Linked DNA regions of Lepisosteus oculatus. The protein of the gene in region 2 purifies or fractionates together with the protein of the main gene of each other region. This does not show direct contact. Links are inferred from orthologs where the notes say so. Each region holds a gene or a part of one and is shown on either strand. Other genes may lie near its edges. The genes, in order: eif3ba and eif3ea.

The links.
Region 1: the proteins of eif3ea (region 2) and eif3ba purify together in Homo sapiens (affinity purification with mass spectrometry; 9 studies listed by BioGRID and IntAct, counting the BioPlex papers as one, with this or other methods). This does not show direct contact. The link is inferred for Lepisosteus oculatus from reciprocal best matches to the Homo sapiens genes EIF3E and EIF3B.

What each region holds. Positions count from the first base shown.
Region 1 is NC_090714.1:9,155,933-9,171,802, forward strand, and holds the start of eif3ba (eukaryotic translation initiation factor 3, subunit Ba), read right to left. Parts: upstream 7,046-15,870; 5' UTR 6,904-7,045; coding exon 6,801-6,903; intron 5,709-6,800; coding exon 5,516-5,708; intron 5,007-5,515; coding exon 4,887-5,006; intron 4,419-4,886; coding exon 4,361-4,418; intron 3,891-4,360; coding exon 3,762-3,890; intron 3,218-3,761; coding exon 3,060-3,217; intron 2,275-3,059; coding exon 2,143-2,274; intron 1,719-2,142; coding exon 1,652-1,718; intron 1,450-1,651; coding exon 1,403-1,449; intron 943-1,402; coding exon 732-942; intron 278-731; coding exon 205-277; intron 129-204; coding exon 6-128; intron 1-5. Other genes in the region: brat1 (BRCA1-associated ATM activator 1), read left to right, coding at 7,444-7,482, 9,281-9,419, 9,896-10,050, 10,576-10,723, 12,288-12,708, 13,123-13,242, 13,403-13,494, 13,612-13,730 and 2 more.
Region 2 is NC_090705.1:38,863,764-38,879,638, reverse strand, and holds the start of eif3ea (eukaryotic translation initiation factor 3 subunit E-A), read left to right. Parts: upstream 1-7,509; 5' UTR 7,510-7,541; coding exon 7,542-7,631; intron 7,632-11,412; coding exon 11,413-11,530; intron 11,531-12,374; coding exon 12,375-12,492; intron 12,493-15,875. UniProt on the Homo sapiens protein: Component of the eukaryotic translation initiation factor 3 (eIF-3) complex, which is required for several steps in the initiation of protein synthesis.

The DNA.
Region 1 (15,870 bases), on a different chromosome or scaffold from region 2:
CTTACTGATAAGTTCGATCTTGCCATTGTTTTTAACATGGTAAAATGATACGTTTATCCTTGGAGATTCTCCGTGCAGCACAGCAAATTTACTGCCATTGGGCTCCCAGGCAAAAGCAATGATGCTCTCTGCAAAAGCAAAACACATTCAACCATGTCTCTACTTTGAATTCTATAAACACGATAAAGCTGTCCAAATACTCACCCTTCATTTCAACAACATCAACAGGGACTTGCTTTTCTCTCATTCTGAAAATTTCAAAGTTGGTCACAACACCCTACAAATAAAAAAGAAAACATTTGCAGGACTATTTGGCTACAAAAGAAACAGCTTAAATTAGTTTTTAGTACTCTTGTGTAATTAAATACAACTATGGATTTAATAATTTAACAGTAAATAGATCCTTTAACACCTATCTAACAGAAATCTGTCTTAATTCTGAAAAAATCCTGAAATATCCTTCCCACATGCTTTAAAGCATTGTACAAATTAAGGATATTAATTACTAAATTATTATCCCATTTTCTTATGCAAAAAAAGATAAGTCAAATTACTAGATTATATTTGAAGGTTTAACAAGGAACATAGAGAGCAATAAACCTACGATAGTTTGAACATTTAAAACCTCCTCGGTTGTCTTCTTATCCTCCTAGTCAACTGTATTAAACTTGTTTTACAATGAGCTGCAAAAACAATTAAAAGCTCCAGTGGATAAACTCCACTGACTATACCTGGGTTCCCTTGGGAGTTCTGTCTACCTTCACACAAAGGTAATCTCCATTCTTCTGCCAGTGCAGTTTACAATCAACTACATTGAACAGATTTCGAACTCTGATCTCCTGCCTGGATGGCAGCTGCATAAGTGTTACTCTTGCAGGAATATCTTTGTCTTCTGGTACCCAGAATGCAATAATATTGTCACCAGGAGACCATGAGAAATCCCTGGAAAGATATGCAAATAACTTAACACACAACATCACTGACATTATTTCACTTAAAAATAATTACAACCAAAAAACGATGTTTTCACAATTACAACATACAAATGGTGGATAAGATAATGGAAACACCACTTCAAGCTGTATGACTTTATAATATGCAGTCAATTGATCTGATGTCTTCCTCCAAGCTCCATGCTGACAATTTTTTACTTAGCCGCCATTTTCAGTACTAAAGCTCCTGACAAATGTGCCCCAACAATCACGCTTCTTTCAAAGTTACAGATGCGCAATATTATATATGATCCTAAGCATGCTGTGATATTATTGGCTTAACTAATCCATTAACCACAAAGGTGAGGAAGCCCTTGTTTTTAATATCATTATTGTGCCTAATTCATTCCATTTTTACACACTACTTGTAGTATTTTTATTAAAAGGCTTCAATTTTTTCTTGCACTTACTTTATCCCACCAATTTTCAAGCTCTTCTTGTCCAACAACCCCATGGACTAAAGAGGAGGAAAAAAATTACATGATTCAAATGGTTATTACTGTTAAGCTTAAAGTGGAACAATCTAGCATTAGGCAAAGTGAAGTCAAAACTACAAAAATGAATTATATAGTAATATTTGATCTTTGATTATCTTAGTTCAAAAGGTACTGAAGGTCGTTTTGTTCATTCAATGATTAAATCTAAAAAAAGGGACTTACAGGTGTTTCATAGATACTGAGTGTGTCTTGTGTCATTCTGGCAAAGAACTTTCCATCATGGCTCCACCTGAAAATAATTTCATACAAAAAATAAAGATTAAAAAAATATTGATTGAAAACTACCAAAATACTTTAGGTCAAATGCCAAACGGAATATTAGGCATAGTCTTAATTTGCATAAGCCCCCTAGTAGTACTGATAAATCTAAGACATGTAGATTATAACACTACTCTCTGAATGCAAAGACTACAATCCTGTTGACTAACAGCAGTGAAATATATTTATTCTTATATATAAAGGCCTTAATTTAAAAAACAAGTATGAAGGCTCTATCAGTTACACTGTCACTAAAAGTAGGTACAAATGTTAACTTATTTATTTGTCATCTTTAAAATGAATGCTCAAATTCCATTACTAGGGGAAAATAAGGGAAGATAAATAAAGAGGGCAAAAAACTATAATGCACTGCAGCACAAACAAACACAACTCACTTGAAAATTGGCCAGTGGGCTGAGCTCTCACAATGGAAACCCCTCTTCTTCTGCCCAGTCAGAATATCCCAGATGATAATAGCTTGGGGGTCATCTTTTGTGTCCATTAGAGGACTGAATGTAACCATGTACCTGTAATTGAAAACACAATTAAAATCTTTTATGCATATGTGCAGAACAGTTACATAAATTCACATACAAAAACATTTTAAGATCATAGAACCAAAAACGTGAAAACAATCATGTAATAACCAAACAACACACATTTCAATTTAATGCAGTTTCACCTAATGTTTTCACCTGAGGTGGATGCTGCACATTGGTGGTGGTGGAGGGGAGTCCCGATTACCTGTAAAGCGCTTCGAGTGGAGTGTCCAGAAAAGCGCTTTATAAGTGTAAGCAATTATTATTATTGTTTTTAAAGAAGGTGAAGCAGGAAACAAGATGTTACTTTTTTGGCATGTTGTGGTTAGTCTCCAAAGTTCGTTTTGATTCAACTCTGATATATTACTCTACACAAATGAAAATCTTTACTTCCACGTATACAGTTTTCTTTCTACTCCTTTATCCAAAAGATATGTGCAGGCTGAACAAGTTTTTATACGATCCTTGCAGAGAAGGCTTAAAACTGTAGTTTCCTTACACAGCAAACATGCACCACCAAGATTCTTTCCAAAGCTCACAATAAAAACATTTTTATTTTTACGGTCCACCCAGATGTGTAGAACAGCCTCTTTTTGGCTGTAATCTTCTTTGTGATCCTAAAGCATAGCATTAAATTGACATATTTGGGATTTAAAAATGCCTTATGTCCAGCTGTTACCTGTTGGATAAACATTTTAAAAATCCAGAAATAAAAAAATTACTTTAAGAAAAAATCTTGATCACTGTGATAATGATAATGGCAATTCTTTCACCTTTCACATGGTGAGAAGTCAATGAGTTGAACACCCTGATGGCTAAACCTCTGAATCTGCTTGAACTTCTCTCCTCCCCATAAAGCAATACCCCTCTGATGGAATGTAGCCAGATAAGTGCCTTTTGGAGACCAACGAACATAGGTCTCTGTCCAGCGCTGTAGACAACAACAACGAAGAATTATATTCAATTAGATGAATTAAAGACATTTTATTACAGTAAAATGAAACCGATGAACATACATTTCTGTTAGGGATGTGAAAGTACAATATTAGAAGATTGTAGACGTTTTTTTTACATGTTCATTAATGCTGTGCACCACATTAGTGCAAATGCTATCTACATTAAAATGCATCCGAATTGACCTATTTTTGCATATGGAATTCTTATCCTTCTCCACTACTTCTCAGAGTATTTTATTTAAAAATTCCATCTTGGCACAAAACAAACCAAGACTGCCTCTGTGGGTAGACTATTTTACTTATCACATTCAATACTCCAAACTATATTGCCTCCAAAAAAGGTGTCAATGTGAGCATTATATTAATTAAAATGGCCATGTTAAGAACATAAGTACATACACATTAAAAGTTCAGTTCAAGTGGACATGTCTTGGAAGGTCTCCTTTTATGTGACTCTTACTTTATGATGGTCACATGGGCAAAATACAGAGAGTAGTCTTGCCTTTGTAAACTACTTACAGCTCTCTCCTCGATCGTAATTGGTTCCTTGACATCATTGGAGAAAATGCCTGTCCTTTCACCAGCTTCAAAAATCACACTATACTGATCACGGCAGTCAGAATCTTCAAGCCAGTACCGTAGATTCCCCTTAAATTAGAATAATCCAAATTGGACGATCACAAAATTGTTATTAGTCATCAGAACTGATACTTAAATCATCAAATCTTTTTAAATAGATTTAAAAGATGAGATTTGACTGACTTTATGTTTTCCCAAGTGTTTGAAGATGTTAAATTTATGATCTTTAAACTGAACATTAAATAAGCAAACAGAGTTTGCAACAAACTTCACTGCTTTTATAACTTTTTTTACTTTGAGGTCATAAGGCCAGCCACCAAATGTAACAAAATACTTAAATGCTAAAAGAGAAATTAAAATAAAATACTTTTCAGTATAATTTTAATGTTTGTACAATAATTTGCTGGCCTTAATGTGTTAAAATGTGTTAAAGAGGATGGTAGTCTCAAAAGTGCAGCATCACTTACAGATATAACATTTGCAGTGATAACTGTATAGGCAATCCTGAATGATATACACAAATTAGTAATGATACTTACAAAGTCTTTGAATGGCTGTTTTTCAGGGGTTTCCCATTCATCACTGATATTCATGTACCTATACAAAAATAATGCTAATTAAAAAATAGCAACACTAACAATATCAACAAGAGTAGTTCAGGTGGGTAGCTGCGTCTGCATGCGTAGGCTGCAAAGGAACAAGTAATAGGTTTATTCCATGCTGAAAAAAAGAAGAAAGAGAAGAAAGAGAACACAACGTTTCGAAACGTTGTGTTCTCTTTCTTCTTTTTTTCAGCATGGAATAAACCTAATATCAACAAGAGTTTGCAAGTTCACATACTACCTCTAATCAGGTTTCCTATAAATAAATCTCAAAAGAGCATTTACAGAAATGGGGAGATGACTGTTCAGTAATTCTATCCAATCCATAATACCCTTAGTGTTTTTCAATCCCATCTCCAGCAGGTACCCATCTGAACAAACTCCCTTGGATGTATCACTTAGAGGCAAAGAAAAAAGCGGAGACATACAGTACACAGTGTATAAATGAAAATAAATTGCTCACTTGTCGAAGTCTGTAAAGATATTGACTCGGAAGGTGTGCTGTTTGTCCAGCTTGTAGCCATCTGCATTTTTCACTGCTTCCAGAGCATGAGCTGGCGATGCATACTCCAGAAAAATGTACCTAAACACAAGTGTTACACAAGAGAAATACAATGAAGCACAACTACCTACAAACTTCCCCAGAAGACATGATTTACTTTTAATATAGTCTTACACAACAACAAATCAATAATAGATGTTTGCCTTCAAAATAATTTGTAAGAGCTGTATTATTCCTCAAAGCAAGTTCTTAATAGCTAATAACCTGGATATAAATCTAGAACATACCTGAGTTTAACTTCAAGTCCAAATAACTTTTAATAGCATGAATAACAAAAAACAATCTATACGTAGAATAATTAATCTATATATAATTAATAACTATACCATTATATTAAAATAACTTATTTTGCATACATAAATAATTGCACAGCAGTAGTACACACATTCAGTAGAACCAGACTAAATACAATGAAAATAAAGTTATAAATGCATTAATGAGAATAAATCAATGAGTGTACATACATATTCATGTAGTAAATGTTGAATGCAATTTTTTAAAGAGCAAAATGATAAATATGCAATACAAACCCTTTTGTCTTTCCTTCAGCTTCTGGATAAAACTCATTTGTAATCTTGCCAAATCTTGAGAAAATTTTATGTATGACATTTTTCAATTTCTCTAAGCGCTCTGGTCCAACTTGAGGAACGTTGTCAACCACAATAACCGAGTCAATACCGTCCGCCTCTTGGGGCCTCTCCCTCAGAATATCAGCCAACAGTTCTGAAAAACAGGCAGAAATACAGTTCCAAGAGCAGTACATCAGTTATCAGTAAAGCCCAACTACAGTTAGTTATTTTTGAGTACACACCCACAAAATGCGAGATCCATGTTTTATTGTAGACAGCATCATCTGTACTTTAACACAGCAGCAGGCTTAATATTTTTTATTTCAGTAATTAAGTTGAACTATAAACGTAATATAGTTCGGCGGTTTATAAAAACACAGTGACATTACTTCCGTTCACAGTTCAATGAGCATACAGTGCTTTTACCAATGCAATTTCAGTAACGATAGATGAGCGCTGCTTATCTTTCATTATAAATATGTAACTAACATCCACTTTTACACCAGATTGGTGTAATTTCGTCATTTTACTCAATTTAATTTTAATTATACATTTCAGTTTAAAAAGTTCCTTAATAACATGTTGGAGTAAAAAACTCCAAAATATTGGTAACACTTCAGAACATTATAAAATAGTCAGGATTGCGTTAAATAAACCTGTACATTATCTGTCCGGTAAAGATCAACTACAGGTCGAAAAGCGACTCATTTGCCTATAACGAACATATTGGAATACCGTTACAGAAACTTGCAACGAAATATAAATGTACAATAGACAGCCACCTGAAAAGACATTTCTACACCTTTTAAATATAAGAATAATACATTTAATTTGAAAATTAAAAAAACCGTAGTAACTCTAATTTACTCTATATATACACCTTGCTGCATACTCAACACTGAATTACTGAGGTCTTTGTTACTATACGACCGAACATTCAATCTATAACGTTAGTGTTACTTAAGAATGTGTTACTCGTGTCCTTAAACTGGTTGCTTTCTTATCATTTTTAACTTATACATCCAGCTGCGACATGCTCGCTTCGTCAATGACTCCACAACCGGGCAGAAACTGTTAAAAATTGAGTGCCTTGAACGGAAATGCACGATTTAGTGCCTTTATTTTTAGGCCGCGAGTTGTACCATCGTTACATTTAACAGTAAGAAAGCTTATTAAATAGCGCTTATTTTTATTTGAGTTATTCCAACCAGGCCGCAAAGCCGGGTGCTTTCCTCCGCTCGATTACCCTGTTCACTGATGTCATCCACAAAATCCTCTGGGTCACTGAAGGATAGCTCTTCACCCTCTTCAAACTCGGCTTCGGCCGCCATGTTCTCCGTATCCCGCATTTAAAGCTTTACCCTTTCAATAGATTTATGGAAAATTAATATGACCAGCTTTTCTATCAAATAATCTAGATATTTGCTCAGCAGGCCATGTGCACGACAACCGGCGCGAGCCAACTTCCAGTGAAAAGGGACTCAACCTTTTCGGAGGGATGGGGGTAAGGATTAACAGGTAGTGTTTTCTAAACACGTAAAACGAAAACACCTATCAAAACCTCGATCTTATAATATAATAGAAATGACAATTTTATTATAATATTTCTAGCATATACTGAAGGTGAAAAAATTGAATACTCTATTAAATATTTCCCCTCACACAATTTGGTTCGTTCTAAAAATGGATGCCTCCAGATTATTTCCTGTTACAGGAGGAAGTGCTTGAGAAATGTAAGAAGGGTTGGGCTTTTCACAAATCCCAAATTCGGAGATTTTATTGATTGTGATGTGTTAGTCATCGTAAATTATGTTAAACTGAGAAACGTTTAAATGTAGAATCTCTATATTTGTTTTATTGTAGAAGTCTGTAACTATCTTTGATTGTTTATGATTAGTAAGGACAGAAGAGCACGTGGTAAAATGAATGTGTGTTGTGTACTTTAATTTTCTCTTTAATTTTTGTGAATTCTTATTCTTAACCAAAGTAAAGTTGTAGCTACACGTGACTTAAACACTAGATTGGGATCCCACCCTTCACTTTTCAGACGTTAACGACAATTTTTCGTTGAACGTATATCTACGCCTCGGCGTTCATCTTTGTGTTTGCCACAATAAGATAAGGAAGCTGCAAACTCCGGTATTGTTAAACCCGTTGTGTTTTAATGCGCATAATTACTTTACTGACCCAAATAATCGCATGTTACTGTACAGAGGAAAATAGCAAATGACATTTTATTAGGTCCCTGTTATGTTTAGAATTTGTATTAGTTTTCGATGCGTTTACTTCTAACTCTAAATGGGAAAATAATTCTTATGGCACAGGCATCATCTTACTAATTACTACTATTTACTTAATGAAAAATTGTGATTACTAATAATTCAAGAAATTAGGTTAAAATTAATATTATAGCAAATTGTCATTTAGATCCCTCAATTCAAAACCTGAAGGTGCTTAAATTCTTATAAGACTCAATTAAGATTATGTGTTCTGAATTTAGATGATTTATAGGAACACGTAAAGGTTTGTTCAATGCTGAAAAGAGAAGAAAAGAAACAACGTTTCGGCTGTAGCTCCTTTTTCAGGTGTGAGAGAGGAAAATCGGCAGTTGATAAAGCACAGGAGAACAAAAGCTGCAGAGGAGGTGGGAGCAGGAGAGAAGCAGAGTGGACACTCAGGTGGTTTGAAATTAAGAGAGGTGAACAGAGGTGTGAAGTCAAAACCTGCAGATGAATACAGAGGATTAGAAGGAAACAAGTCTGTCAATGAGAAAAGGGGGAAGGTGTGATCCTAGTTTCAGAATAATTTTGGTTTTGGATGCAATAGGAGATCCGAACCCCCTCTTTGAGAACAAAGATGGAAAGATCAGTATGATCATGGCTGTTAGCGATGAAATGGGAAACTGTGGGCTTGGAGAGATCTTTGATCCTCACAGCCCTGACATGTTCCCTGAAATGGTCTCTCAGTCTCCTTCCTGTTTCACCAGTGTAAATAGCTGGGCATTTTCTTTAAGAGATGCAGTAAATAAATTTGTTGGAGATACAAGATGTCATCTGAGTGATCCAGAATTGTCCAGATGGGCCTTGAATGTGCATGGTATTGGATATATATTTTCAGGTGATGCAGCGAGTTCTGTTGCAGGGGAAGGTTCTTGGTGTGGATGATTGCTGACTGCGGTCAAGAGAGCAGTATACTATAAGGTTAGATTAGGTAGTTGGCAATATGAGATGGCGGGGCGTTTTACGAAAAAATGAGTGCCAGTGGAGGGATCATCCTTTAAGATGTGGAAGTTGTCATTAATGGTCCTGGGGATAGAAAGGGTGTTAAGGTGGTTGGGAAGCACCACGGGAATGTGGTTGTGAAGCCGGGAACTCCTAATTGAGTTGATGGTCTGAGGGCTATTTTTGGCTCTGGGAAGGGCCCTGTCAATAATATGGGTGGAGTATCCTCTGTTAATGAAAAAATTGTGCATTTTAAGGGCTTGGTTTTGGAAGTCAGTGTCACTGCAAAGTTGTCAGAACCTGAGAAGCTGTGAAAAGGGGACAGAATTTTTAGTATGTGTGGGCTGAAATGAGCTGTACAGAAGGTAGCTGTATGAGTTTGTAATAGAAGTAGAGATGATTTATATCTGTTATTTTGGGGGAAGTGCACATTATTTAATTGAAAACTTACTAATTAACTTGTATGTTGTTAATGAGAATATTAAAACTTGTTTTCGGATTCCAGATAACCAAAACAATGGATAGTGAATGTGCAGAGCTGCTACCTCTTGTCTGTACAGTTCTTGTTAATCCAAAGCAGTCACTCCCTGATGATACCTGCTTTGAGAAGCTGCTGGACTGGTTTAAAGACCTAACAAAAAAGGGTGAGCTATTGAAACAGACTGAAAGCTGTAATTTTCAAAGGGACTATAATATTCACACTCAATTATACAGTTAAGGGTTTTTTTAAAGGAAACTGAGAGATCAATAAATGTGCACCACTAGAGAAGATTCTCAGACAATCCTCAGTGGAACAATTCAGGTGTTGAACACTTTAATGTGTTAATTAGGTTTAGTCAGCCTAATACTAAACTAGATTGTGACATATTGGTCACGTTTGCAAAGTACAGCTGGCATGAAAAGGGAATATTGATGGCTACTTAATTTGCCAAGTTAGGTACGGTGCACTTACTGGCTTTGAAGCTGCTGGTATTGGCTATTCAGTAACACTAGTAAGTCTAGTTTTAAACACACTAAGATGGAGGTATTATTTTAAGCATAGGTAGTGAATTCATCTTCAGTTATACTTCATTTTTAAAAGTTGAATATATAATATTATGCTTTATTTCTTCTTTTTTAGTATCTGGGGCATCTTTGCTGCAGCACAATCCATGTTTAACTGAATTGATATCCAGTGTGTGTAAATTGAAGACAAATGAACCCACTGTTCTCTCCTTTGTACTGAGACTGGTTGGGATCTTAGCTGCTACTGAAGAGGGATTTTGCTTTTTAGAGGTAAATTGATCAAAGCCACTCTTGAAGTTTTCTTTACATACAATTCCTGGAAGTGTGCTACAGGAAAATTATTTCATACCTAATATATTTCATTTGGTAGCTTTTAACTTTGTGTTCTAAAAGTTTAGCCTATAAAAAACCTTTTTGCTGGCAATATAGCTCTTACAAAGTATTGTAGATAAAATGTAAGACATAATCATCATTTTGGAAGAGGAACTGACTGTGTTCTGCTAACTTTACATACAGCTGTGTTTTTTCAGATTGGAGCAGCTCTAGCAGGAATATTTAAACAGAATATGATATAACTTTTAAATTATAAACTTTTCAGATACTGGCTTTTCAATCTCTCCTGTTTCTCTTGTTGCTTGATTGCCACATGAAAAAGAAACAATGCCTGAAATAAGTAGGCTGAATCTCAGTGCTCAGGGGTTAGTGTTGGCAGTCTTCATTGGAGATATCATAATTAGGATGCTTGAAATGTAGAAATTGAATAGCCTGAATTGTGAAAACTTTTGTCATCTTCAGGAACAGGACATTTTGCACAGTCTCTTTGGAAACCCAGGCCTGACCCACACAGAGCTGTGGGATGAGGCAATAGTGCGCAGTGGGTGGATCAATGGATTATGGAGCATGCTCCAGCACTGGAGGGTTATGCATTTCATCATAATGAACGGTGGGAATTGCACATAGTAATGCACATAAAATTAATTTAACTTTAAATGTAACCATTTTACTCTTTCCCCAATATGTCATTTTACAGCTCCTTTCCTATGAACTTGAAACATCCGAATAATGAAGACATTGTACTCTGTCCAAATGATCAAGTCTGCCATCCAATGACCATTTGTCTCCAAACTAAATATTGGGAAAGCTATGAAATGACATAATTAAATAGGATTGCATAGCAGTGTCTTTTTAATTTAATCATAAGACACCTTTTTAAAAATAATTTTAATTCATACATGCAGATTTTTAAGGTGATAAAATGCAGAATTGAGAATTTTCTGCTAATTTAAATTTGTAGGGAGGGTGTGTGTTTTATTCTAAAATTGTGATGTATTTCAGCATTTTTACATAGACAAAAATGCAGACCTAAAAAAGGTCTGTTAGTTCAGTCAGAGATCTAATAATAATAATAATAATAATAATAATTGCTTTTACTTATATAGCGCTTTTCTGGACACTCCACTCAAAGCGCTTTACAGGTAATGGGGACTCCCCTCCACCACCACCAATCTTGAAGAATTTCTAAAAAATGGAGACCTTAATCCTTTCAAAGTTGAAAATTAATTTAGCCACTGATTAAGAGCTTGCTGGAACGAAAGCCAGAAGGTGGATCCCTCACAAGAAAGACTTAGACTTAGAACCACTTCTCTATCCTCTGTCCAAACTTACAACAGACACAGTTACTCTCTGAGATCCTTTTCTAATCCTCTCTAAGTGTAGACTGTAGATCTCCCCTGAACTCTGGTCACTAACAATATCTAGGATTGTGTGTTTAATTAAATGTGAGCCTTCATTTGGTTCACTTTTTGGGGCAGTGCAGTGGCTCTGTGGCTAAGGATCTGCGCCTGTGGCTAGAAGGTTGCCAGTTCAAATCCCACAGCCGGCAGAAGAATCCTACTCCGTTGGGCCCCTGAGCAAGGCCCTTAACCTCAACTGCTCCAGGGGTGCCGAACAATGGCAGACCCTGCGCTCTGACCTCAAGCTTCTCTCCCTGTCTGTGTGTCTCATGGAGAGCAAGCTGGGGTATTCGAAAAGATAATTCCTAATGCAAGACATTGTAAAGGGTTAATAAAGTGATGTTATTATATATTATTATTATTTTCTTCTGGGGATCCCCTTGAGACTTATTAATTAAGGGGTTTGAGAAAGTTCAAGTAGGTAGCTGCATCAGCATGTATGGGCTGCAATGAAACAAGTAAAAAGTTTATTTCATGCTGAAAAGAGAAGAAATGAAACGTTTCGCCTTCGGAAGAAAACTCCACTTGTTTCATTATGGTGTTTGGTTTGTGAAGTTTTCACATGATATAAGGCCCTCTTGTGTCACTAACTGGTACCGTGCTTTTCTTTTGATTTTATATTACAAATTGTATAATTAGACAAAGAAATAAGCTAGCTTTGAAAAATAAAATCAGTTACAATGGCAAATGCCTTATATGTCAAATGTTGAGGGTCTGCCTCCCAAACCTAATTCAGTACTTATTTTGCACTTTGGATTGTTCTTTTTTTCACAGATTTTACTAAAATGATCCTGAATTTACAAATAGACAGAAGCCTCTTTGTTGCTTCAGCAGCTAATCAGCTTTTGGCTCACATTTTAAACTTCCCAAAGAAAGTACCTGCACATTCATCTTCAGACAACAGTGATATTTGGCAGAACTCTGTGGCCTGTGAATGTAACACCTATGCTGAACAAACTGAATGGGCTAACTGCAGCATTAAAATTGCACAACATTTGGGAGATGCACTGCATTCTGACATCTCCTTCCACACCCATCAGTCCTTAAGGCTCCTGACTTTGGCTCTGGTACACTGCCAGCCGCAGGTCATGGAAGTACTCTGGCAGAAGACGGAGGCTGCTATTAAGACACGGATGGGAAATGGCCAGATCGTGATGGAACAGCCATTCTTGGAAGTCCTTCTAACTGCATCAAGGTTATTAAACATTCTTTGTCTTCAATTCATTTTTTAAAAATATTATTTTTAAACTGGTTATATCAGAATAGAAAAGAGGGGAGGAAGTGTGCCAATATCCTTGAAGGCCTGGTTTGAATGCATTGTGAGAGGGTACATTGCATTGTTTAAAACAGGGCTAGTTTTTCATTTCTTTCAGTAAAGGAAAAAATTACCTTATTTTTATTTATAGTGTTATGTCTTGTGCCTCATTATGGGAATAAAAAATGATATTTGTATTTTCAGTTATTTTACTGTTGGTTTCTGCTTTTTTTTCCTTGTGTAAAGGGTTAATTTTCTGCACTACATTCTAGTCTTGTAATGAGCTCTGGAGAAGGTTATTTTTTCAGTTGTTAATTTATGAGTGTAATTTGAAGTTTTTAAACTGGTTTTCAGGACTGCTCTCTTGAACAAAGAGGACTCCAACTTGGTAAATCTGATGGATCTGATGCTGTGTACTCTGAACCCCACACAAGCTATTCCCTTTGCTTTAGGAATATTCAAATTAGAAAACTGGTAAGCATGTACTTCAGGACTTAAGTAGACTTAGTGCTTAAAGCTTTAGAGACCTTTTCTTTTTTGCTTGTTTGTTTTTTGTTTTAAAAAGTATCTGATCAAAGTAACAGTTGTTTTGCTTTCTGCAAACAAATATGTTATTCAGACAATTGTATTGCAGCCCACATATTTTGAGGAGCAAGGCCATTCAAGTAATCCTCCAGCCACTAGACTGTATTATGGCTGCAATAGATGAACAACAACAGTCTTCAGGTATTTTCAACACAGTAAAAAAGCTGCACTTTGTTGCATAATCATAATTTCATTTTACTTCAGTACCAGCATATTAGGAATTTAACAATCATTGTCACTTTTTTTTCCTCTTAAAAGTTTTGGAGGGTGGATTTGTTCTTGAAAAATTGGCTACAAAGAAGCAGCTGTCCCAGAAAGGATCCTGTTCATCTTTACTTTGCCTTTCATTGTACCACACGGAAGAGCTGTTATGCATGGTAAGTTACTTCTACTGCTTTAAAGCAGTTATTTTATTTGTGACATATGTTTTCTTGGAATAAATAAATTATTGGTGTGTTACTGTGATGTTTCCATCCTACCTTTTTGAAATCTTGTAAAATATGAACAGAAACTTTTTTTGTGTGTGCTTCCGAATAGCTCAACTGGTAAAAATACCAGTATAGAGGTATTGAGCCACATTAGCTAACTCTGCCTATACCCTAAGGCAGTGGTTCTCAAACTTTTTGGACCACCCCTGATCAAACCAAAGCATTCAAGTACCACCTACAAGTCATCTTCTCATAGGAACCACAGAAATCTGAATGACCAATATGAGCACGTGCGCACACACACTCACACACACACACATATAATAGAAATAGCACTGAGCACATAGATAATTTGGATTGTACCACCTTATAGCCGTTTTCCGACACTTGCTAACATTAGCAGTGCTGTCAGTATCAGGTTCAGCAGCAGAGCTACAGTGCCTTGCGAAAGTATTCGGCCCCCTTGAACTTTTCAACCTTTTGCCACATTTCAGGCTTCAAACATAAAGATATAAATTTTTTATTTTATGTGAAGAATCACCAACAAGTGGGACACAATTGTGAAGTGGAACGAAATCTATTGGATTTTTGAAACTTTTTTAACTAATAAACTTTTTTATTAGTTAAAAAAGTTTCAAAAATCCAGTAGATTTCGTTCCACTTCACAATTGTGTCACAATTAACAAAAGTTAGTTAGGGCAATGGCTAGTTATAACAGGGATTCCACAAGTAACAATATACATCTGGCTGTGTGTTACTTGGGATAAATGGTATTGAAACAACTTAGGCATCCTTGATTCAACTGTGAGCTTCCAGTGTTATCACAGAGAGCTGCATCTGTCCTCTCTCCAACAAAAATGTGTTTCTTTCTTGTGTAAGGGCAATGGTTGTTGCAGAGAGATGAATTTATTTCTTGATAACAGAGGGGTGATACAATTTTAATAATGATCTTACATCAATTACATCAAATCTCTTAAAACATTATGTATGTCCAGCCACTTGAAAAGATGACTTTTCTGAAAAATTATCTTTAGTTCTGTGTGTACAGGACACACTGCACCTGGAGGTTCCAGGCAAGTCCCTGTTCTGCTCTGTTCTCACAGTGCTAAGGGCTTGCATTGGAATGGCACTCCCCTGCAGCTCAAAAAACAGCAACATCTTCAAAAACTTGATTGGCTGTACCAAGGTCCAGAAGTCGGCAATGGATACACTGAGCAGGCTTGCACAGTGCTCAGGTAATGCAGTACGAACATGATCAGTAACCAGTTTAAGAAATGTTGATCTTAACCTTGTCAAAGTAAAGATTTCCCAGTTTTACTGGTTTTACAGTTAGCCTGTTTTTTCTCCTTTTTTAGGAAGCAGTGAATTTTTGAGTGAGGCTTTCTTGGTTCTTCACGAGTATCTCCAAAATTCTGACACGGATTCCTCAGTAGGAGTCAATTTCTTGTTTTATTTGTATACTGTATACAGTGTATCACACTGTTTGTGTCTGTTTGAAATAATGAGCCTATTCTTCCCATTTCAGGTTCTCACAAAAGCTATGCAAGCCGTCTTAAACTGGTTGTTTTGCTGTTCTGAAATACCATTAACTTGGTTGTTTCTTAAACAAGGTAAAATATATAGGCTATACAGAGGATGATGATTTCATAATGCTAGATTTATATGGTTTGCAGAGACACTTTAATCCTTAAACTATGTTAAAGAATAGTGTTACAACTGGGGGTTACAAAACTAGTGAAAATCTAGAATAGAACGAGCGGTTTAGTCAATCAGTGAAATAATTATTCATAACCCCCAACTTGTAAGTCATTTCTAGAAACATACCTGAGAGGTTGGTATAATTGGAGGCACGTGAATTCTTTCGTGAACGTGAAAACACACAAGTTACTTTATGTACAGTATTTAGAAAAAAGGCAAACGCCTATCATTCTGATCACCCAGAAAACCCCAGACTGCTACTAAGCATTTAACTCTTAATATGCTTACAGAGGCCACACAAGAGATGAGCTGCCTTCTGACTAAATACAATGTAATTTGCAGTTAAATCTCTCTCTGCACCCCAGATGCCACAAAATAAATGGGAGCCTAT
Region 2 (15,875 bases):
TCAAAGTGAAATTCAATTAAAAGTAAAAAAAAAACTTCTTTTTTTTTTGCTTTTTAAGAAAATAAAGCTTTCTGTGTTGTAGGAAAAATGTATTCCTGTATGTGGATTTTCCTACAATCTGATCCCAGGAGTTCCATCATTAAAAATGATTGGCTGGTTGAAATAGGAGAAACCCAAAGCAATTTGGCCTCCAAATCAGGATTTCAAATACAAGATTCTTTGTCAATTAGGATTGAGTTGCGGTGTTCAACCTATGGCTGTAATATATTTATTGGCTGCATTTTGTTAAGCTTTAATATTACTCTTTCCAACATGTTCTGCCAATTTGAGGCTGTTGTGTTTTGTCTTACTTTATATAAAAAAGCAAAGTTAAAAGGGAAACCTGCTATCTGTCGAATGTTTGATTCCATTTTAAAAGTAAAACAAATATATAACAGGAAAAACGATCGCGATTTTTATTATATATTGTTGAATGTTAATGTTAATGTTCTATTAAACTTGTGAGGAATATGAAAAACGAAATTACTATAAAATAAGGGAAAATTAAATCCTCTGGAGAAATATGATATAACCATCATATGAATACTTAAAAAGGAAATACATCCCTAAAGATCACTAGTAAATTAAGTTTAATGTAACATGATGTTCTTAGTCACTGTGTGTATAATAAAAAGATGATCAATAATTTGATATTCCCATGCAGAGTAGGTATGGATGACATGCTCATTGTTTTTTTCCAAGAGACTGAAACACCAGCTGATTGAACACAAAGAAACCCTCAATAACAACAGCTGAATCTTTTTTTTATTGTGAATGTTTCAGAAGTGGGACATCTGCAGGCAGATGAACATCCAGGCGTTGAGGCATGGATACATGCTATGTGACTTCTGAAAACAGTCTCATAGCTATGGGTTAAAAGTTAATGGTGTGCCATTATAAATGGGCAAATTATACAAATGGGTAAAAGTTACTTCAAAGTAGCTAAGGTAAGCATGTAATATCAGTACATTTAACCATCTGCACTGTAATTTGGTGCATTGGTTAGTACAGTATATTAACCTGCCTCTGTGTATAAAACTAAATATAAGAAAACAGAATGTACACTAATAGGTCTAACTCTGATGTTCTCATGTATTTAATCTCTGAACACAATTATTGGAAACACAACTAAACCTGTTATCCAAAGCCTTCCAGCAGACAGCCTATGGAGAGCAAAGTATGAAGTACATTGGTGAAATGCTATGTATTGAAACCTGGGCAGAACTAATATGCTCTCTTCTTACATTTTTGAAAAACTGAAAAATACTGTATATAAAAAAACTATTCACAGAATCATATTGACAGTTTTAGTTATACAGATGAATAATTCCATATACTGTAGATAATCATAAATAGAGACAAAACCTGAAAATTAAGAAGATTACATTGGCTATCCCTTGTGGTTGAGAAAGATTATTGTCAGTTTATCCAAAGCTGTCTGATAAGGCCAACAGGGCATCTGTCTGACAAGTTGAACAAGTTGTCCTCGGAGATATCAGGTTGTGTACTGTGGTCTGATGTGTACTTCAGCTCTCTCATTTTGCTTCCTCATTCTGATATCACTGGCCTGAAAGTGCTGGCATCCTTTCCATCTACTCCAATCAAAGCTATCGGTCTTTGAAGAACTGATAGCGATGTTGTATTTCTTTATGTTTACTTCTGTCATATGGTTGAAATGATTCCTCTGGCCTCCTCTGATTTCTTGGCAAAGTGGGGAGACGAAAAGCTTTTTTGGTCTGATCCTGGATTCTGATATTTGAATGACATGACCAACTCAACAAACTCAACTCAATCAACTCAGCTGATGGAGGATTTTCATAGTTTGGCATATTAGTGTTCTTGTTTAAGAGGCAGAAGTACCAATATACTAAGATATGAAATGTCTGGGTAAATGAATGTCAGGATAAAGCTGTCAGTATTAGCTTATGTTTTTGTTTAATCATTCGTCACTGCTACAGTATATCCTTGTCATTTGCACACAGGACTTACACAATACTGTTTGAAAACCTTTAAGAAAATAAGGTAAACATGAAACTCTGGTGGATGTGTGTAGTTAAGAATTGCAGTAATATAGCTTATTTTACTATAATCATTGGTTAGCAAACATGCCTTACTCTCATTATGGTTCAGGCAGTATGTGAAGTGAAGGATGCATGAAGGATGCTGAATATTATGTATTCCTACCAAAGTAAAGTGGGTGTAAAGTTATGGTTGCCTTAAATTGAACTTTTAGGTTTTTTGGGAAAATGTTTTTATAACTGGTAGCAAAATTACCAAGTTTCAGTCATCCCCAGTACATTACCGTGGTAATGCCAAAGGAAATAAAGAAAAGCATCACTGAGGTTCAATGCAGAAAGTTAAAGAATCAAAATCCAATCAAATTAAAGAGAGAAAGAAGCAGCTGTTCTGGCCCCTGATTTAACATTTTTATGACTCTGCAATACAACACTAAAGAAACAATGTGGACTTCAGCTCCTGTCTCCAGGGTTGTATGGGTTTTCCTGTCACCAAGTGTGACGGCACACCGACGAGCAGCCAAAGCGCGCTGTGTTGTAACTCAGTGAAACAGAAAACTCCTAGCTGACTTGTGAGTGTATATGACTCACGTCTACCTGAAGTCAGATGCGCAATTTCATAATGACAAGGCTGAGACTGTTTCAGTTTCAGGACAGCAAGCGGAGAGGATGGTGCCGTGGGGTTCTCACGAAAACTGGGGCTGGTGGAACCTGTTAGAAACGGACCTTTTGGTAGCTGACATCGGCTCTCTGAGGGTCAGTACGGCCGGCACATGGGCAGCTTTCCAAAGCAGCTGTTGGATAAAACACTGGTCTGTGTTCACATGGGCAAAAGGACGGTCTTAAACTGGCATATAAAAGTTTTACAAGAGACTACATTTTCTTATATTTTATAAACTTAGGTAAAATTACATTTAACTTTATAAGTAATACAAAGGAGCAAGTAAAGGTTTATTCCATGCTGAAAAGAGAAGAAACGAAACACCGAAAGAAGGCTACACAGCCGAAATGTTTCTTTTCTTCTCTTTTCAGCATGGAATAAACCTTTACTTGTTCCTTTGCAGCCTACGCCTGCTGACACAGCTACCTCCTTTAACTACTGAGTCATACATACAAATATGTTCTTATATGTTCTTATAAGTTCTTACACCTACTGTTAGTACATATTGTATTTTAATTCATTTTTAATTTAGCTTTTGTGCAAAAATTGAATGTCATAATATTGTATTATACTAACATGTTGTCAGCTGACCCTCCTGAAAAATCCTCAATGTTTCACAAGGCCCACCACATTAATGTAGACTATGATTAAATCCAGCCATTTCAGAACAGCTTTATCCACTACAAGGTTGTGGGGGAGCCAGAGTCTATCCAGGTATGCACTTGGCACAAGGCTGGAGACAGCCTGCATGGGACACCAGTCCATCACAGGGCAGACAGGGAGACGCAATCCTGCACACACTCACATTCACACCAGGGCCGATTTTCCCAGAAGCCAATGAGCCCACGAGTTTGCCTTTGGGAATGAAAGGAATTCTTCAGTACTACACAACGTGGAGAGGGCGTCAAGAAATGGAGGAGAAAGTCCTTGCGGATCTGAGGAGGGACATTTGCAGGCAAGGGCTTCTCCACAGAGAAGGAACATGGACAGGACTGGGGGCTTTTCACAAAGGCTAAGGACTTCACCAACACACCAGTCTATCTGAAATGGTATGTGTGAACGATTGGACATTCACAGTTTAAGAGTCAGGCTGGAGCCAAGTGGACACAACAGGGGGTTACCGTGTCCCCCAGCCAACAATTATTGGAAATGTAAATCGTGAACAGAAAGGGTGAAGGACTTGCAAGGCCAAGAAGGAGCGTTTTCGCATCTCTAATGGCCAATCTGTTATCAAGAAGTCTTGAAATCATTGTACTGCATTCAAATAACTTTGTATATATATATATGTCATGGTTGTAATAACATTTATATTTGCAAAAAAAAGGGATATCTTTGAAAGGAAACCCACATGAGCACAGGGAGACTGTACAGATAGCACCCAGTAATTAAACCCCGGTCCCCAGAGCTACAAGGCAGCAATACCAATCACTGCACCACCATGCTGCCTAATGATTCCATTTTAGAGGTCCAAACAGGCATTATGGCAGCTGGGAAGGAAATCTCGCCTTGAAGGAGGATGAAAATCAAAGCTTGACAGATCACAGCTTCACGTTTCATCTAATGCTGTGTGTAAGACACAGAGGGGACTCATGAAAGGGATACTGTGATACTGTGTGATAGGATGTCTGTGTGACACGTGTCACACCAGGTAGCCCAATTGTAAGTACAGCTGTTGACATTTCTTCAACAATAGTCACATACACACTAGTTCAAAATAGGCTAAACTGGTGTGTAGCTGCTCAGAAACCTTTGCTAAGAATAGAAAAGAAAACGTGAAGGAGAAAGCAACCAAGAACTGTATAAAATGCCACTATAATACTGTTAGTTTTGTACACAAAGAAGAATATGCAGGTGCCTTTCAGATCGCAACAGGTTTTGTATTGGATATAACCTTTACAGCTTTTTTGCATTGTGGATGTTTTGCTTCTTGTAAATTGACAATGCTTCGCGTAAATTTTTAAAAATGTGAAGTTCTTGGAACTGGATACAGTGTCTATCATTTGTTAGTTTCACATAATTTAGTTCTTGGAAATGGTATTCTTGATTGTACTTTCCACATGCCTATTCTCCTGTACGTTTATTATCCCCTGCGGTAATCTGACTCTCTGCAAAGTGCTTTGAGATGATGCTCACTGCGAAAAGGTGAAAATAAAATTTGATCAACTCGATTGAAAAGTAACCTGAGTTATGTTATCAGGAAATACACGCACCCTCACAAGTTACACAACTTATAAAAGAAACAGACTGTCCTCAGAATTTACTTTTACTAGCTCAAAACCTTTGTTTTTTTAATGTCGCTCTTTGTAATCTCTTTTAAAAAAATGTAGCAAAATCAAAGGCAAAACAGACTTCAAGTACAACTGCACTGCATTTTTTTTTCCACGATGCAGGGCAATTAACAAGAAATACCTTTTGAAATACATTACTCATATTAATTTCCATTCTATTTGAAAGAATATTGTCTTGTTCTTCATCTGGAGAAAATGCAGGACAACATAAAACAATTAAACAGTCTACAGGATGTGGAAGTCAATTTTACAGGGGCCACGAATGTCCTCCGCTTTAAAAACAAATGGAATGAATATGTCCTGTACATAGCAGCAGCCTGAGGCTTCCTCTGGCCAATACCAGGTATTGATAACATATTGATATTGATAGTGATGGCTGGTGTATGATATTGTGTAAATTATACTGTATATAATTAGCTCACACCTGAAGAAGGCTCCACAGCCGAAACGTTGTGTTCTCTTTCTTCTTCTTTTTTTCAGCATGGAATAAACCTATTACTTGTATAATTAGACATGCCAGGCAATCGCCTTTTATGGGAGCCACGTAAAAGAAGTCCAATAACGAAATAATTATAGATCGATTCAATATAAACCACAAAAATATATAAAATCTGAAAATACAAGATGACTCAGCAATTTCCATGGATGGATATACTGAATATTTGCATAAACGTTTATTACAAACATAAGGCAATTACACAGACCTGTTTTGAAGCACTGTGCTTCAATAATGATACCATTATTGGATTTTTAATTTTGCTCAGATTTGTCTTACATAAGTCCTATCATTAAAGTACTGTATATATACTGATGGAAAAAAGAAACGCAACACCCCCTCCTCCACACTCTGGCCCTCCCCTCTGCGTGGAACAGGCTGAAGAGTGACTCATCTGTGAAGAGGACCTGATGCCTCTGCTGACGAGTCCGTCGCAGCCTCTGTCTGGCCCAAGCCGGTCGGTGTGACGTCTAGGAGGTGTGAGCAGAGGGCCTCTGACAGGTCACCTTGCTCTAAGGCCAGCAGCATGGAGCCTCACTGTCCTGTCACTGATGCGGGCATTGTGTCTGCTGGCAGTTTCAGCAGCAGTACGGGCGACAGATCTGAAACGATCTCTCAGGTGGACCAGTCTGATATGTCGGTCCTGCTCTGGTGTGGTCACTTGAGGGCGACCGGATCTTGGACGGTCATCTGTCCTGCCGGTCTGCTGAAACCTTCTCTGCAGTTGGGACACAGTGGAGCAGCTCACTCCATAGTGTCTGGCAATGCTGGCACATGACATGGCTGCCTGCAGCATGCCAATGGCCCTCTCCCTTGATTCTGGTGACATTCGAGGCACTATGGGATGCACAGAAAACTGTCTGGCCTTTTTCTTGCAGTGACCTAAGCTTTGAATTAAGGACTTTCAGGCATTGTTCCACCTGGACCTCGTTGGGTAAAAGTGCACCTAACGAGCTTTCGTGTGATTGGCAAGTTACAGTGCCTCACTGCACAAGCTGTATTGCTGGTCAGAGGGCTTAAAACAAGTTGACAACAGTTTGTGAAAGAACATCAGCTATGACTATAGTATTCTCAATTCAGAAAATGTTGCGTTTCTTTTTTCCATCAGTATATTTTGCTGAATACCCTGATATAACGGCAGTTTCCAGGTGAAATGAAAAACCATATAACAGCAAGAGCAACAGTTAAAACATGGTGGGTAGCTGCGTCAGCATGCGTAGGCTGCAAAGGAACAAGTAATAGGTTTATTCCATGCTGAAAAAAAGAAGAAAGAGAACACAACGTTTCGGCCGTGGAGCCTTCTTCAGGTGTTGACCTCAACACCTGAAGAAGGCTCCACGGCCGAAACGTTGTGTTCTCTTTCTTCTTTTTTTCAACAGTTAAAACATGTTTACCCTGAAGTCCCCAGTAAAACAGCAGGGTAAAACTAATCTGTCATTGCTATTTTGACTGCTTGTTGATTTATGAAGTTAAAAACAGAACTGGATTGTGTGGTTTCATTTTTTTCTTGTTTTGTTAAGCAGGTTCTCAAAGGTTTATTGCTTTCAAGTTATGGAAGACTTTAAAATAAGCTGAAAATAATTGATTAGATGAATCTTCTTTAGATCTAATATTGTCTTGCGGTGACATCAAGATACGTGCCAGAACAACTGTAACAGAATCCCAAATTTTAGTTTGAAAATTAATCTGGATAGTATAGAAGATGTGGGAGTATAGAACTATTTACCCAGCCATGTTGCTAATGCCAATACTGTACTTCAGTTTCTTTCAAGTAACAGCTTGGGTGAGAGTCTTGAACCAATTAGCTACTAACTTATACATTAAGTTAGATGTAAATGCCTATTTAAATATACGGTAGAAAGCTGGGGCGACATGTTTTATAAACCACAAATTGTGAAAACCCTGATTATTTGGCTAATTTTAGTTATTGCACATATGCTGTGTTAGAGATAACTGTTGCGCAACCTAACTTGTACCTTTGTCTCTGCGACGGTGCTAATAAAGCTTTTCTTTTTTGAATCCCCTTCCTTTCTGCTGCAAAGATGGCGGAGTACGATCTGACCACCAAGATCGCGCATTTTTTGGATCGCCATTTGGTGTTCCCTTTGCTGGAATTCTTGTCTGTTAAAGAGGTATTTACGTTTTTGTACAGTCCTATCGTTTTTTGTTACCGCTTGTTCTTTTCGCTTTGAGAAATGTTGCGGTAAAGCACATTAAAAGCCACGTGTAGTGTTGCCTATCTATTCAATGGAGCCGGCTATGGGACTAGGCCTCTAAATACGTTATAGATCTTTCGACTTAATTGTAAAAAAGCAGGTAGTCAAGAAATATTGTGGAACACTCTATATAAATGATTAAAAGACCAAGCTTTCGGGATATCCCATTGGATTTTTTAAAATCACAATTGTTTTTTGGTAATAGTTCTGCAGCCTGCTTACCGGACTTATCAAAAAGGTTTTACACTTTACATTTTATACCGCTGTTTTAACAAAGTAAATATTTGTTTTATAACAAACAATGCAACAGAGTGTCGTATGATATTTCACCTAAGCCTAGCTAATAAACATTTAATTTCGCTGAATTAAAGAAGCCGGTTTCTGTGTTGCTCTTGTTCTACGTATAATAAGGCTGTGAACTGGCTACAAATCTCAGGGAGGTGCCTGGGTATATTCGGTAAAGACCACAGTAGTTTTCTATTTCAGAAAGCGACGTCATGTTGCAGTGAATTTCGCCTTGCGTATTGATAAAGCATGTTCACTTTGAATTATTGCCGCACCCTTAGTCGCTGATCACACTGGCTAAATGCAATGCCTTTTACCCCGTGAAACTAACGTAAATAACTAGTGCACCTCTCTTCCTTGATTCATTAAAATCGACCCTTGTGCGTTTCTAATGCTGTGATGTGTGGTGCATTGTATATCATTGTACTCGTGCTTGCCCTTTTATTTTCCGAATCTCGTTACCTTGTAGTGTTAAAGGTGATCCCTAAACAGTGCTGATTAAAAGATATGTTGTTCTTGGACAGTAAAATGTGTATACAATTTAATGCTGGAAACCGAGAGTAGTCCCTGTAAGACCAGTCAGAATTCTGATTATTCTGATAATAGGAAGGTCTTTATCTCCAGACTGATGCTCTAAACGGTTGTCTTGTTTACTGTGCGAGCTCCGAAGCACAGGCTTTTCAGACTTATATGTTGTTAAGTCACAATGATTTAGGTTTTTAAACTAAGACATTTGCGTGACAGTTTTATCTTTTGGGGGTAATGCCACACTTTTTTGACGTCACGAGAACTGACCATAGATCTGAGGATTGCGGTGGCTCATTCCCCTCCTGTTATCACGGTAATCTTGGGAACAGGTAATAGGTTTATTCCATGCTGAAAAGAGAAGAAAGAAAACGCAACGTTTGGCCATGGAGCTGAAATGTTCTGATACCACACATAGTAATCTTAAATTGCTTAAATGTGTATCGTGTTTTATGTGTCTATGTATATATGGTATGTTTGTATGTGTATAGTGTATGAGTGACTCACAGAGTCAAATTCCTTGTAAGTGAAAACTTACTTGGCCAATAATCTATCTAACCACTGTAGAGTTGTGTTTTGGGCTCTGGACTCCCCACTAGAGAGAATGAGTTGTGGGTTCAAATTCCAGCTAGGTTACTTCTGTTGTACCCTAATGCAATGTACTTAACTCTGTTTGCCCCAGTAAATGTCCTCTTGTGTAAATATATACTCCCCAAGATGTTCCACAGGACAGTTTGTTCTCGCATGTGACTAACTTGGTAAAATGAAGGATGCATAATTTGAAGGATGAAGGATGCATAAATGTACTGCATTGCGTTAAACACTTCATCCATTCATTATGTGACTGGGGAGGGAGAACCAACAGTTAGCAAAACTGCATTTAAGTTACATGCCATCTCTAAATACTGGTGCAGATATTTTGTTGAGACCTAAATGTGTTTTGAATCATTCAAAAACAATGCCTCTTAACCCCCCTTCTGGGCTTTGTAGGATTTTTGGTTGCTGAAATACTCAAGTTAAGTGCATTATTTCCAGTAACTTCAGAACTTCATGCAGTTTCTCTTCAGCTTACTTTCTGAGAATTTGCTGCCTTTATTTATGACTGAACAGCCCTTAAGAGGTGATACATTTCATGTTGAACAGACACAGGTAAGAATGACACTATTAGTGTCGCTCTGATGCAGTGTTAAATAAACTCTTAGGGTGATTTTCTGCTTTCTAAGGTTTAATGGTGAAAAATCAGACTGTATTTTAGCTACCACACCAAAAATAAGGCCAGTTTAAGTTAAATTTACAATTTAGATAGCTAATTCAAACAGTCATCCCAATAAGAAATCTCATTCAACTTTTCAACAGCTGAAAGCAAATAAAAAAAAAAACTCCAATAAAAAATGAAATAAAATGCTCGTGGTTAAGCACTTTGCTGGAATAAAAACCAGAAGAGGGGGGAGTTACCCGGAACTTGGACTGAGAACCACTGTACTAGGGTATTTTCTAAACCAAGGCCTGACTGCAGAAAAGCCTAAACCACCAAGCAGATCAATTACTGGCTGTAATTAGCACTGGTGATTAAGGGCTGGAACAAAAGCTAGCAGAGACAGAGGTTCTTCAGGACCAGGTTCAAGAACTGCTGATTTAAGCAATCAGCAAATAAAAACATTAGTTCCTGGTACTTCTGGATTAAGTGATTAGACCACAGAATATATTGATCCAGAAGTTCTCCTTTATTGTGAAAAACAGCATGTTGGTGTCCTTTGTTACATATGTCTGGAATGCTCAATCTACCAAACGCTTAGAGAAGAGTGAACATCCTTTTCATTTTCTCATTTGCTGCAGTACTTTTCTAGGATGTGTCTAGCCAATCCCAGTTGAATACAGACACTGGTCAGAGTGGGGAGGTCATGGCATGCCAGCCAAGCCTGAAAATGGACATTTGGGTGTCTACCATGTGTGCTAGAAAGGTTTCTGAGGAGGCAGAAGCAGGGGCGCCGTATAAATGGCTGACCTTGCGTTCTGAATCCAAGCTTCTCTACCCCTTGAAAAGACAAATTCCTAATGCAAGAAATTGTATATGACAAATAAAGCAATGTTATCTTTTTTTTGCACACATCCACTTTTCCACCAATTGGTTCCAAGCAGTTGGAACAGTAATACTACATCCCTATACTTTATCTTCCAGCAGGTTGATCAAGGTTGGAATCTTCATTTTTGAGTACACTGCTTTAACACACTCTGCTGCCACCTTAGATCATCTGTGATCCACAGAAGATGGCGATTTTGTTACTCAAATGTCAGCATGTTACCCCAGAATGGCCTCCAAAGAAGCAGATAATTTCCATGCAGATAGTAAACTGCAGCTGTTCTGCTTGTGCACGGGTTATTTCTTCCTGGTGACCCCTGTTTTCTTGGATCTGGCCTGCCTCTCACAGAGCCAGTTGTCTGTGAACTAAAGAGTGCATAAAATAGTTTAGCACCATAACACGATTAAAGTATAAAATAATCTTGTATTTTTATGACTTTTTTTGCATTTTTAAACTTGCGTTCTTATTTCACAAGACTGAAATGTGTTAAATTTGACTTAGGCAACAGTTTCTGGAGCCAAACTCATGTAAGTTGAGGGCTTTATACTTTTTAACTTTTGTTAGTTTCAATCTGGACTCGTGAAATAAATGTTAAGACGTATTTTCATGGAAATATACAGAAAAACAATTAGTACAGCTTTAAATCAAAGAATTTTCAAGGACTGAGAGCAGAAAAAACATCTACCCCCAAAATCAAAGAACTAGCTGAAGCGAATCATTGCATTTCGTTTGCGGTCCGTCTGGGGATCCTTAGTGGTGTGTCCTGTAATTTTTTTTTCATCTGGATTATTGTTTTTCTTTTACAGATTTACAATGAGAAGGAACTTCTGCAAGGAAAGCTGGACCTGCTCAGTGACACCAACATGGTGGACTTCGCCATGGATGTTTACAAAAACCTGTACCCTGACAAGGAGATTCCCCACTGTGAGCACCTTGTCATCGATTTGCACTTAGCATTGCAAGCAGTTCAGGGCTTGCGTCCAAGCCTAAAGTGTTTTCTGTGAATTGGTGTGTCCTTCAGCCACACAGTAATTACATTAAATTCCAGCTTTTGCCTTGTGTATTCCTGGAAATTTGTATGGAACATTATCAGAGATGTTTGAACATTTGTGCTGAACAGTACTCAATTACAAATCGGAATCCTGCTGCAGAATACTTTCCAAGTGTTTGCAAAGGAGACAGAGAACTCGCCCGAGAGGAGTATAAAGCATGTCACCATTTTAGTGGGGTTTTTTTTCCGGTCCTGTTCTCTGACCTTGAGAAAAACAGAGGAAAGATGCTGCATGCCCGTTGACAACAGAATTTAAAGCAATCTCATGCCTAATTCTTTCAGCTGTAATCTGGCATACGAACAATAGGAACTGTTAGTTTTGAAAGTAGGTGTTCATTATAGAAATGTCTGTAGGGGAATATTATCATGCGAAGTTAGTTTTACTGTAGTAATTACAATCGTAATTGATATAATTGATATAATTTTGCATTGACAGTCATTACGTAAGGATTCCCAAAACTTACAAAATTATTGCAAATCGTTAAATCGTCATCTTATTTTAGTAATTTTATGAGAAAACTGTTAGAAGAGGCACTAATATTCACACAAGATGCCCAGAGTGCGTATTTACTGTTGCAAACCAGCCCCTACCTGATTATGTCCAGCTTCTTAATGGGATGGTTTTGACTTTTTTGAAAAGGAAAGCGTATAAATCCAAAGCACATTGTGCCAAATTTCCCCTTTCCTTCTCATCTTTTCCCACCTCTTGATTTTTAGCCTTGAGGGAGAAGAGAACTACAGTTGTGGCGCAACTGAAGCAACTGCAGTCTGAAACAGAGCCCATTGTGAAAATGTTTGAAGATCCAGAAACCACCAGGCAGATGCAGTCCACAAGGTAAGGCTGCTTACGTGTAAGCTGACTAACCTGATGTTATATATTCGCAAATCTGTCCCAGCTTGCCTCTTACTTAATGGTATGATTAAGTACAAGATACTCCAGCCATGACCCACAAGACATGTTTTCTAGACACAATGCGTTAGGTTCAGTCACCTTGCATTAGTTACCTGATATTATGTCTTACATCCTTAACTTCAGCGTTAAAGTAATTTAGCAATTTGACTTGCTTTGTTAACATTACCATTCTGATTAGCAACAGCGATAAAACATAGGAAGTAAAGATTGCGGTGATTAAAAACAAGAGTTAATATGCTTTCAAGTGGACAATGGGCATTTTACCGAGAATGACACATGGTCTCTTGAAGGTGTAAAATGTAAGCATAATGATCATCACTACAATGTATTTAATGGTAGAATGTTGGTATAGCTAGTTTGCAACACTTTGAAGCAGAAGAATATGAATCATTATAGATGGGTGGCTGATGTGAGAACGTGACGATTAAACCCAGTCGCTGCGGTTTGTGAATATTTTACGTTTCTTAGTAATAAAAAGTTCATCCTTGATAAAATACAACAAAATGTAGAATGCCGTGAATTCAGCATTCTTGCATTTGCCTATTCGCGGTTTGGTCTGGCCAGCAGAGTCTGTGATGAGAGAAGAGCAGAGTGGGATGAAACCGAGCCGAAGGTTTGTTTAACTTTGAACTTTCAACTTGGCGGCACGACAGCCGAGGGTGGCGAGACGAATCTACAGTAGCAAGTGAGGGAGCCCCTGCCTGCGGCCCCCCAGGCACTTCCTACTCGGGGTCCTCATCTCCGCGCGGTCTTGTTTTTCTGTTGTAACGGGGAATGACAAAGGCTGGCGAGGACTTTAGAGGCTCTCTTCCAGTTTTATTGCCCTTTTCATTACAGTGGGGCGTGCTGATCACAGAGACGGAGAGAAAAAGTGCAGGAATCTGCTGGATGCGAGAATTCATGATAATATTATCACTGATTACTATAAGCTTGTGGTTACTGTTGTTTTTTAGCTGATTGGTTTAAATTAACTTAAAGACTGCATTAGTACTTTATTATATAGGTAGTGTTACTTATCTTTTAAGTATGTATTCTATGTACTGTATACATTATGTGACAGTACAGTGGAGGAGTTGATTATATGCGAATTGGGCTAGTTAAGACTATTGAGACCTTAATATATATATATAAATTCATGTATGTTCCGGGGGATTTGTTCTTAAACATTTATAGCCACAGCCTGTTTTTACAGTTGCTTTCCTCATTTGGGTAGATATTTCCTAGTAAGACTTCACACCCAAACAAACCCTTCTTAAGATTTCACTCAACTGTTAATATACAACAGATTGTTTTTGCATTGGTAGTAATCATAAAGAGCGTTTTTTACTTTATAGAATTTTGTGAATGCTGATGAATGGGGTGAAATCTAAGTATTTGGTCAATTAAATAGGAATGTTACTTTGAAAATAAATTGTTTTGCACATTAGCCTTTCTTTTCAGTTTCATTGAATGGGTCACTGTTACTATCTGCAAATTGTGACTAAAAAAAAAAGTTGTGGTTACTGTTGTTTACTGAAGCTATTTAGTCCTTCCAGACAGCACCATGATTAAAATATTTTGGTTAGATTTAACCTTCAGCATTTGTTTGGATTCTTGGCCTGAAGCTATAAGATTTGTCCAAGATATTTTTTCATCATAAACTAGATCCAGGATAAATTCACATTTTTTTGGTGTTGGTTAATGTCTTCTTTTTTTTTTTTTGTATGACCTATGTTATAGTTAGCAAATTGTATTCACTTCATTTTTGTATGTAATCTTGTATATGATTCTAGCACTCTGCAATTATTTTTGAGACCTAGTTGGACAAACACAGGATTTGGTTCAGTTGTTGGGACAGTACTCTTCAGTTTCGAGGAATTCAAACCCTGCTAGAAAGCAGATTTTACAGTACTGCTTTGGGTTACATCTTCATTCTAAAAAAAAAAACATCTAAACATGTTGAGAGCAATTAAACAGGTGATTTGTGGAATTCAGTCATTTGGAAATTAAGGTATTTTAAGTAATAGTAATTGAGACTTCATCCCTCAGAAATGAAAGTTGTCATTTTTAATATATATTAAGATCAAGTGACTTGCAGTTGTTGCTAATCGACAGGCGTAGGGTTACCTGTGAACTGTACTAGATTGGAGTTTCCATGATCAGGATTGGACACATTTTTCTTCTTAAGAGCATTTTGGTTTGTCCGCTATTTAATTTAAGCTTAAATTAATAAGGGTGCTGCAGGGGTAAAATAACGGATGCAAAGACAAAATTATTATTGAAATTTAAATTCCTTAATAGGTTAAGTCCTTTGGCACCAAAAAGAAGAAAATTGCAGTGCTGTGAAAACAGGGTTTTGTTTTCTTCATTTTGCCATTCACTATAATTAGGTTCATGAGCAGCATATGGAACATTTTTTTGTTCCATAAAGTTATTTTTGTTATGGAAGGGTTTTTTCAATATGGAAAGGCACACAAACCAAATATATCAGTATAGCTGAAATAATGCTGTAAACTGTGTATATGTGCAGACTTGTTACATAACTAATGAGTTCAAAATTAATTTAAAATGATTATTTCAAAGGAGTGTTGCAGTAAAACGTTGCAGACGCAGTTTAACCTCTTTGCTGCCACAGCATTTTGGAACGCTTTTAAAATGCACAATTTTAAATTTACAATTTTTTTTTTTTGTCTGAATAACTGATGTATCAATCATTAAATAGGCCTACCAGTAACTCCTTTAAGGTCAGAATATTTAATTCTCATTAAACATTGGGTTCAGTAAGTTTTGAAGGATGTGGTATTCCCTCAAAATTGTTTTATTTCTTTTGTTCCCATTTCATTTTGGCTAAAGATAAAAATGTGGTTAAATACTAGAGTACATTTAATAAAACTGCGTGCAAGGCATTCTGGTTCTAGTTAGTAACCACTTTGATATATGGTTTACTCCAGATATTGACAACTTGGTGACTCGATTGCTAAGCAGCATAAGAGAAGGAAACAACGTGACAGTTTAAAACCTTTGATGATGGGGATATTGGTTAACCTAGATCTTTTTCTCCCAGAATGTGTAACTTCTGATGTTATTAAATTACAATCAAATGTTTGATATCAAAATATGACAGGTCATTAGGGCATCCATTTCAGCAGGAAGTTCATTTGGTTTCAAATGGCATGTTTTTCCTCACATTGATTTCAGCATTTTTTGAAATATTTTGTGCATACTGTCACAGCCACCTGGATTTACATGCCTGATGTAATTCAATGTTTCTTTATTAGCCCTATACAATTTCTTGCATTAGGAATTAGTCTTTTCGCATACCCCAG